Arabidopsis thaliana: one gene and its partner. The protein of the gene in region 1 purifies or fractionates together with the protein of each later gene. This does not show direct contact. Each region holds a gene or a part of one and is shown on either strand. Other genes may lie near its edges.

The links.
Region 2: the proteins of NRPE7 (region 1) and NRPB8A fractionate together in Arabidopsis thaliana (co-fractionation; one large-scale study listed by BioGRID). This does not show direct contact.

What each region holds. Positions count from the first base shown.
Region 1 is NC_003075.7:8,405,721-8,410,137, forward strand, and holds NRPE7 (RNA polymerase Rpb7-like, N-terminal domain-containing protein), read right to left. Parts: upstream 2,172-4,417; 5' UTR 1,991-2,171; exon of another isoform or gene 1,832-1,990; intron 1,325-1,831; 5' UTR 1,317-1,324; coding exon 780-1,316; 3' UTR 527-779; downstream 1-526. Other genes in the region: CLPB2 (casein lytic proteinase B2), read left to right, coding at 4,334-4,417. UniProt on the Arabidopsis thaliana protein: DNA-dependent RNA polymerase catalyzes the transcription of DNA into RNA using the four ribonucleoside triphosphates as substrates.
Region 2 is NC_003070.9:20,252,630-20,257,189, forward strand, and holds NRPB8A (RNA polymerase Rpb8), read left to right. Parts: upstream 1-2,308; 5' UTR 2,309-2,415; intron 2,416-2,580; coding exon 2,581-2,659; intron 2,660-2,914; coding exon 2,915-3,072; intron 3,073-3,395; coding exon 3,396-3,487; intron 3,488-3,594; coding exon 3,595-3,706; 3' UTR 3,707-4,059; downstream 4,060-4,560. Other genes in the region: AT1G54240 (winged-helix DNA-binding transcription factor family protein), read left to right, coding at 459-505, 618-671, 768-824, 920-1,013, 1,256-1,339, 1,437-1,758, 1,834-1,865.

The DNA of each region.
Region 1 (4,417 bases):
AATTGTTATCAAAGTGTTTTTCAGATACTTCTTTTTATCGAAATAAAATTGTTGGCTATTAGCTAAAGATATTAACTAAATAAATATTACTATTCGATTACCGAAGGAAAGGAGAGTCGGGCCAAGAACGAGTATTAACCAATCCTGTGTCATCCACAAATCCAAACATTGAAAATTTTTTATTTAGGGTTTTAGACCTGCCAAGCAATCACATTCTCATGTGATTCTCGTGGGCTTTCTTTCGTCTTCCCAAACTCAACGATTATTGGGTTGGGCTGTTAGACTTTGAATTGACATAGCGAGCAAAAGTAGCAATATTCAAAGCGGCACCGCTTCAATCGGCGCAGAAACAGTCACTGGCAAAAAAAAACTCATACGCCGCTTCGAAATCTGGAGACCTGTTGAAACTAGAGATTTCTCGATGGTGATGAGTGATGATTAATCCATAATCGTGCTCTGAGATTGGTTCGGTTAACTTTGGTTTGAAATATTTCTTATATATCCGGTTTGACTACGATTTCAGAGTCTAATTCCAATCTGAGCTTATCATATGGAAGAGACTCACAAGCAAGCAAAAATCATTACCAATACAAAAAACCTAAATTAGACCAATCTTTCCTCTTGAAGGTGAAGGATTTCATTACATTCAAAGATCAATGTTTTCATTATTTGCACAGCTAGAGAGTAGTTACTAGTTACTACCAAACATGAACTAAAGCCGAGTTATATAGACATAAGAGATTGCCCAAAAACGCCATCACATGAAGAGATCAAGCAGATCACTCTTCAGATAATGGTCCAAGATAGTCACCTTCCAAGCTAGCCAACGCCTGAAACTCCCTCTCTACTTCCATCCACTTTATCCCAATCACAACAACCCTCACTGTAGTCTCAACCTGAATCCTAGACGTCTTCTCATTCATGAAGATCGGGTTCTCTCCAGGGATATACTTGTAATCCGGCATCTTCGTGTAGGAGAGGTAAACATTCTCGATTGGACCACACCTCATGAAGACACCGTGCTTCAACACCTTGTGCACCACACCGTGAATTATCTCTCCTTTGAAGATCTTGAAAGTCATTCCGCTGAACATTACCGGGAACAAAACTTCACCGGTGTGCTCCCTGATTTTGCCTTCTCCAATCTTGTCCAAAGTTGTGACTGCCACGTAGTAGCCAAGCTCCTTGGTTGCTTTCTTGGAAGCAAACGCCTCTAGTAACTCTACTAGTATAGCTCTCTTCAACATCAGCCCTTTGGCATCCATGTTTTCAGCTGGAATCATCACGTTCCATGGTAATTGGACTTTGAGAAACATTGTTCAACCTTCAAAACCAAATCAAAGCAATGTCACATAGCTATCATCATTGATCCAGAGAATAGAAATACTTTACTATCATCACATTCTTCTCAAAGGAAAGATATGAGAAAGACTCTGGAAAAAATCAAAACTGAAAGATCACAGAGAAAGGAAAAGGAAGTAGACAGTAATTTCCAGGTTTTTCTCTGAAACGAACATCTAGGTTATACAAATCATCATCAGTAACCTAAAGTAATTCATCCATAAGATAAGATCAAAGTTTCTGTTTTTATAAGAATCTGGACACAATGTAGACATGCATTAGCAAAATACCAATTTCATAACTCTACAGTACTCAAAACAGAGATTCAGAAATTAGTTTCACATTACATATCTACTAAAACGAACACTAAACAAAAAAAAAAAAAGAGCTTTTCACTAAAAAGTATTTCTCACAGGCATTTAAACAAACACTACGCAGGCATGTAAGTAAACAAGTAAGAGTCCTCAAAATTCTATCAAAAGTTACCAACTTTAATAAACCCACAAAAGCTTTGTATTTGCATTTTACGATTAAGTACTCAGACCATCACTTTTTCCACATTTTCTCGAGCAACCCATGGACCAAGACCTTAAGACTGAAAATAGCTGAGAAATTGATTGAGAAAATCAACAGAATACTGAACCCATGCCTTTGTTTATAGATTCCTAAGATATCAAACGAAACGAGAATCGGCAATAGAGAGTGAAAACTGGTTTTGGAGAATCAACGATGCGAGAAGCGAGAGTTTGTTTTGTTGTTTCAAACTCTCTATCGACTGAGAAGTAACACTCGGAGACTTTCAATTTTGGTTTGTTTACATGTCGATGGGCTGAAAAGACCCATTATTACTGAGACTATATTATTATTGGCCCATTAGTATTCACTTTTTCTCTATTTTCTTTTAAATATATTTTCAGAAACTAATTAATTTTTCATTTTAAGATTACTAATTTCATATATTTAAAAACTTTGAAAATTTGATTCTCAAATATTTAAAATTAGATTAAACTTTTTAATCATATTCGAAAATATACTTTTTCTTCTCTAAATTGATAGAAAAATACAAATTAATATATATTTCCTTTTAATTATTTAATCTAATTAGATTAAAAAAATATCTCCATTGAAATCTGGTCGTCTGTCACGTGTTGTGATTATGTTTTTTTTTTACTCAAACATGCTTCTCATATTAAATAGGGATTAAAATCCCGGTATAATGCGTTTGTGATTACATTAGGAATGAGGTTGTAAAAATGCGACAAAGCATCAGATGGTATTCTATGTTTCGCTAAGATATCCGCCGCTTTGTTGTGATCTCTTCGAACCCAAGTAAACTGGCAGTCATTAAACTTGTCTCTCCAAATGCGTGCTTCCCTAATCCAATTAAAAATATTGAAATTGTGTTGCCGACCATGAAGCAGTTCCACCACTGTTTTGTTATCGCCTTCAAAACATACTCTTGTATATCCCTTAATCCAACAGCTTTGCATTGCAAGAATTAGTGCCTGAAATTCGCTTTCCATAGCTGTGTTTACATGTCTTCCTTTAGCTTGACCTGCACCTCTAAAGGTGCCTCTGTCGTCTCTAATCACCTATCCTGCACTAGCCGGTTGTCCGTTGATAAAGCTACCATCATAGTTGCATTTGATCCAGTTTGTATTCGGCTTCATCCAATGATATTCGCCTTGAAAACCAACGTTCTGAAATTGCGGAGGGTTCGTCATTCCCAAACTTCTTTCATCTTGATCATGCCATTCCTTTGCATCACTTCGAGCTTGTCGTATTACCTTTCGCCATGAAAAGTTCCTTTGTTGAAAGGTGAGGTTGTTTCGTGATATCCATAGTCTCCACAAGATCCAAAGAGGTAAGTGCTTAAGATGTGGCGTTCTTGTCCCCGTGTTACACTTGAGGATCTCTCTCAACTTTTCTTCCCATGGGGTCCGTGGGTCATAGAGTAACCTGTTTGATATTCCAGAGCCTCGCCAAACAGCTTTCGCATAGGTACAGTTGAAAAATAAATGCTCTGTTGTCTCTTCCTCCATACAACATCTTCGACACCTAAAGAAACGGCTAATGTGATTATGTTAATTACTCATTTTAAGAAACAAAGTTTTACTTAATAACCTTTTCCCCTTTTTAATAAGGTTTTCCCTTTTTTATGTAATTTTCTTATTTTCATTGAAGTGTATCCTTTTTAACTATATACTTTAATATAAACGTTTTACTTTTTTTGTCAAAAAATTGTATTTTTCATTTTTATGTTAGCATAGATCAAAATCTAATTAGAAGAAGTTCTTTACATGTATCAAAATCTCATCAATTGATTAACACATGTCATAAAAAAAGAGAAAGATGGAAGGTCATGATTTCTTCTAATCTCTTTTTTACTGTTTCTTTACATAAGATTCTTATCTTTGAATTTACTAAGTGTTTTGTATTTGGCAAAAAAAAAAACTAACTAACTCAAAATAAGAATTTACATTGAAAAAAAATAAGAATTAACATTTTTTCAATAAATATTTTACAAATCTCCGCTAGTTTCTTAGTTTCAACAATAAATAATAAATATAGATGAAATTTGATTGTTTTAAAGAATTAAATTTATTTCCTATAATTTATCACAACTTAGTTATTTGGATTTAGGGTTTCTAGTTTTTCAGAAATCAGAAATCAAAATTCATAAATTTTCGACGGTTAAGGTAATTTGATTCACATTTCAGCTTTACTAATGTGTAATTTCAAATTAGTAATTAAATTTTCTTGATGTCGACATACCAAAAAAAAAGAAGTAGATAAGTCAAATTATATAAGAAGGGAAACATATATATTACATTAACTAAATCAGAGAAAGTATTTTCTTTCCCAAATCCTAAAAGGTTTTTCTTGAATCTATCTTTTAAAAGAATCTAGATCATATTCGTTTATCTGCCCTGTTTCTCTGATATTATATATATTGGATTTATGATTTCTTCTCACAGGGTTAAGAGAAAAGATGAATGATCTGAAATTTGACCCCAATGTCAAGCTTATACTTGCCTCGGCTCGATCACATGCCATGTCATTGTCACATGGTCAA
Region 2 (4,560 bases), on another chromosome or scaffold:
CTGGTTTAGGCCCTCTAAGAACTTGTAACGGCCCAATTAGATTGCTATATATTCACGATTGTGCAGTTGGAAATATTAAAACCAAAAAAAAAAAATAGAAAGGCGGGAAAGAGAGTTAGTTACATCGTCTTCTCCGGCGAGACAAGACGACTGCGATTGGATTTCTCTGAAGCGCAGGTATATAAGTGATAGATCACCATTGATACTCTTCAAGAAGATCCCATTCAATTCAAGCTTTATCGAGTAAGATCTTTATTTTATTCCATGGAAACCGATTTGAGATTTACACGAATGATCCAAATACGTCTCATATCATGCGATTTCAAGACGAAAATGGCGTAGTTTTATTCAATCGAAGGCAATTTTGAAGATATCAAAAAGATCGATGCTTCAATTGCTTGATCTCTAACGTGTCAGTTTCTTTCTTTTTGTTCAGCGACGATCCTTCTTCAGTGGCCATGGTTTCTGGAGATACAAAATCGGATGCGAACAACGTTACTTATGGGTTCGTGAACTTTTGTATTTCCCAAAGCCAATTTTGTGGAAATGAGAGAGATCGATCGATGCTTAAAGCTCTGCTTCAACTAATAATGTCAATTTCTTTCTCTTTTTTTCAGAGACCTTCCTTCTTCTCCAGCGGCTACGGATTCTTCAGAACCTTCTTCCTATGCGTTAGTGAATTTTATTGTATTCTTTAGAACCAATCTTTTAGAATTGATCTTTGCTTTTCTGGTTATGTTTTGATTGATTTGTTATCTCATTTTCAGTGAACAGCTTGAAAGGCTCATGATGATAGATTCAGAAGAAGACCGGGGTCCCTCTGGGTTTGTGACCTTCTCGATTCTTTAACCACCAATCTTTGTTTTCTCTGGTCTATCTATGTTTTGATATTACTCTTTTTTTGTTGGTTTTGTTTCAGGTTTACGACTGATGAATTGATCTTTCAGGCTTTAGAAACAGTCTACGAGAATCATAATGGTCTTGATGTCGATGCGATTTTCACTTTTATCAAGGTTAGGAGGATCTCTCTGTCTCTATAAGTATCTGTGTTTCATGGTCATATCTCATGAGTAGTGTATATTGGTTCTGAAATGTGAGTCAATAGCGGGATTACACAATGGAACATTAGGATCTGAAAATTTGACTTCATGTTCCATCCCCTAAAAGTCTTCCTTTTAAAGTCTTGGTTTTGTTGATTCCTCCGTTGTTCTTGATCAACTAACCATCATGTTCTTGTGGTTAATATAAATTGCAGGAAAGGAACGAGTTACAGGAAGATTTTAGGGAGCGGTTGGAAAACCAGCTGAGATATCTAGTTTCTGAAGGCCAAGTATACAAGGTAACTAGTTTTTCAGAGTTGCCTCACACTAATGTTAAGATTCAGTAGTTTTGTTTGATCAGTTCAGAAAAACGGAAAAAAAAACTTGTAAATGCAGGTAGGAAACCTCTACAAGATCCCCCGTGGTGTATTTGATACTCCAGTTGTGTCAGTAGGAGATTCAAATCAAAGAGAAACCATGGATCCAGAAGATTCCACGGGCACAAAGGCACAAGACACACCAAGTACTTGTGCTTCTTTCGCACCACCAACAACAGAAGTAGATCCTCGGATAATCGCATTAGCAAAAGAAGTCGCAGAGGCAGAACACTTGGAGTTGGAAGCAAAAGAGGCATACGAACTTGCAGATAAACACGCCCAGTTGCTAAAATTAGAAAGCAACATAACCTTGCAGTTAGCCGTAGAAATCCTTAATCGATGTAAGTAATGTCCACCTCTTAACCTTTTATCATCATCATCATCACTGACTTTTTCATTTGATTTGGTCCTTGCAGGTGCTAACGGTGAAAAGATTTTCCTGCTGTAAAAGCTTTGACCTTCTGGTCCGGTTCAAGGTGGATATATTCGATCACCGGTTTCTTTTTAGTGTTTTTGGTTTTGAGTAAAAAAAAGAGTGTAGATATGAAATGTGATTTCATTTGACTAACTAGTCATAGTTTGTTACTTTGTGGTTAAATGATTTTGGTTGTGAAGGCAACAGACTATTCTGTTAGTTTTTGTTAATACAAGTTTTTACAGATAATGCCAATCTTAAGAATTGAATAGGTTTTTCTAATACATAACATAAGAAAGAAAAAAAGAAAGTGTGTCATGGTGTCTTTAGCAAGTATTTTTAACGGTCGAGATTAATTTCAAATACTGATCAAGAAAGAAAAAAATTAGTTATGAGAATTACAATTTTATAATGGGCCTCATTGTAAGCCCATTATAAGCTTACATAGGACTTTTATGAGTTTTTGTTCTCAGTCTGTCCCTTTAATTGTTTTTTGGCTCTTCTATCGCCCATCGCTTGGGAGATTAAAGTCTGAACTTTTTGATCTCAAGCTTCTCCATCTCTCCCTCAACTCAAGCTCCTGGTTCGGAACTATTTACTTTCCTATGCGATTGGTTGTTTATAAGTTGATTTCAGAGTTCGGATTCTTGTACTCATTAGATGTCCATATAGGTCTTGTTTACTGGTTTAATTGGGGTTTTATCAAGGAAATAAAGAGTGTTTAGGGTTTGAATTTCCGTGTTTGCAGATGGCGAGCAATATCATCTTGTTCGAGGATATCTTCGTGGTCGATCAGTTAGACCCTGATGGCAAAAAGTTCGATAAAGGTATACACTTTATTAGCCTCACTCACGATTTCTAGTACTTCTCATGGCTTACATCGACGTTTGTTCATAGCTGTTTAGTTCATGTATGTATTGTGAATGAGTTCTTCCGTTTATCCTTTTTTGGTCTGAGTGTGTGGGTTTTGTGGAAAAATTTAACTTTTTAAGTTTTTAGTCTCCCCCAAGTTTTGTTCTGTCTTCAGATTGAGTGGCTTTCTCTTAAACCTACAATGATTTTTGTTGTGTTTGTGGTTACAGTTACTCGCGTTCAAGCTACGAGCCACAACTTGGAAATGTTTATGCATTTAGATGTTAATACAGAGGTTTATCCATTGGCTGTTGGTGATAAGTTCACACTTGCGTTGGCTCCTACGCTGAATCTCGATGGAACCCCTGATACCGGTTATTTTACTCCGGTAATAAACTCTACTGCTTTTTATTTAGTTGTTTTGTTTTGAGTATATACACAGTCTCTTGTTTGCTTGGCCAAATTTCCATGAATGGTAACTTTGAACCCGTATCTGGATTTTGTTAGGATATAACTGTTAATGCTGCTAAATGGTTGATATTATAACTCTGTTGGCTGATTCGAGAAGCCTGTCTATCTAGGAATAAGAGGAGACATGGAATTTTAACAAGCTTTAGTTCTTGAATCTTCAAGATCTAAATTTGAAAACCAAGAATGTGTATGCATATCTAAACATTAATCTTATCTAGTTTTCATCTCGATACATTACAGGGAGCAAAGAAAACACTTGCCGATAAGTATGAATACATAATGCACGGGAAGCTTTACAAGATCTCTGAGCGTGACGGCAAAACTCCAAAAGCGTAAGAATCCCATATAACCCCCCCATATCAAAATAATTCAATCCAATTCAACTCACATATCAAACCATCATGTTTTATTTTATTTTCTTTAAATTATGTGTTTCCAGAGAGCTATATGTTTCGTTTGGCGGCCTCCTGATGTTGCTTAAGGGAGATCCAGCTCACATTTCTCACTTCGAACTCGACCAGAGGCTCTTCCTACTCATGAGGAAGCTGTGAGGTGCCATTTTTTCGGATAAAAACTGAATTAATAGAGAGCTTGATCTAATGTTTAACTTTTACTACTTCAACTCTTGCAATTTTCATGAAGCAACTCTTGTGCAAAAGCAAGTTTTTCCGTTCCGTTTTAAATCCCATTCCACAAATTGACTGCTCCGGTCCGGTGAAATGTACTATTTGTAGCTCTAAGCTATTGATGAAGATAAGCAATTGAGACCAAGAACATAACAAAAAACACAGACAAAGACACAGTTTTTTTTTTGGTCAAGGACACAGTTTTGTTTCTTCTCTAACCAATTTTCACTACACTCTTATCTTCTAACAACAATATGAAGCAATAAAGCTCGAAAAATAGATTCTGAGCCAAAAATAGAGTGTTTTCTCTAATCCATGCTTGTGTTTTCTCTAGTCCATGTTTGTGTTCTTGCTTCTTTGAGACTGGGAGAATATATCTTGGACGGTCGAGATTAGTCTTAAAAATTCTGAACAGATCAAGATTTAATTTTAAATCTGTATAGTGGGCCATGTTTAGGCCCAATAAAAGCTTTTGATGAGGCCTTCTAAATGGTATATATTTCGACTTGAAGAGAAAGAAAAAACAACTAGAAAATCGGAAGAATAAATGGACGGTGGAAGAAGGAAGCCCTTCTCGCCGGACTAGCCAAGCACGGTTCCGGAAAATGGACAAGTATTTTAGACGATCCAGAGTTCGCGGCTCAACTTCTAGATCGCACAAACATTAACCTCAAGGTAATCGAAAATTCCCAAAATCCCATTCGTCTTCCATGGAAATCGATTTTTGAGATTTATTATGTGGAATTAGGTCGAAATTTGGGTATTAATGTTGTATTGTT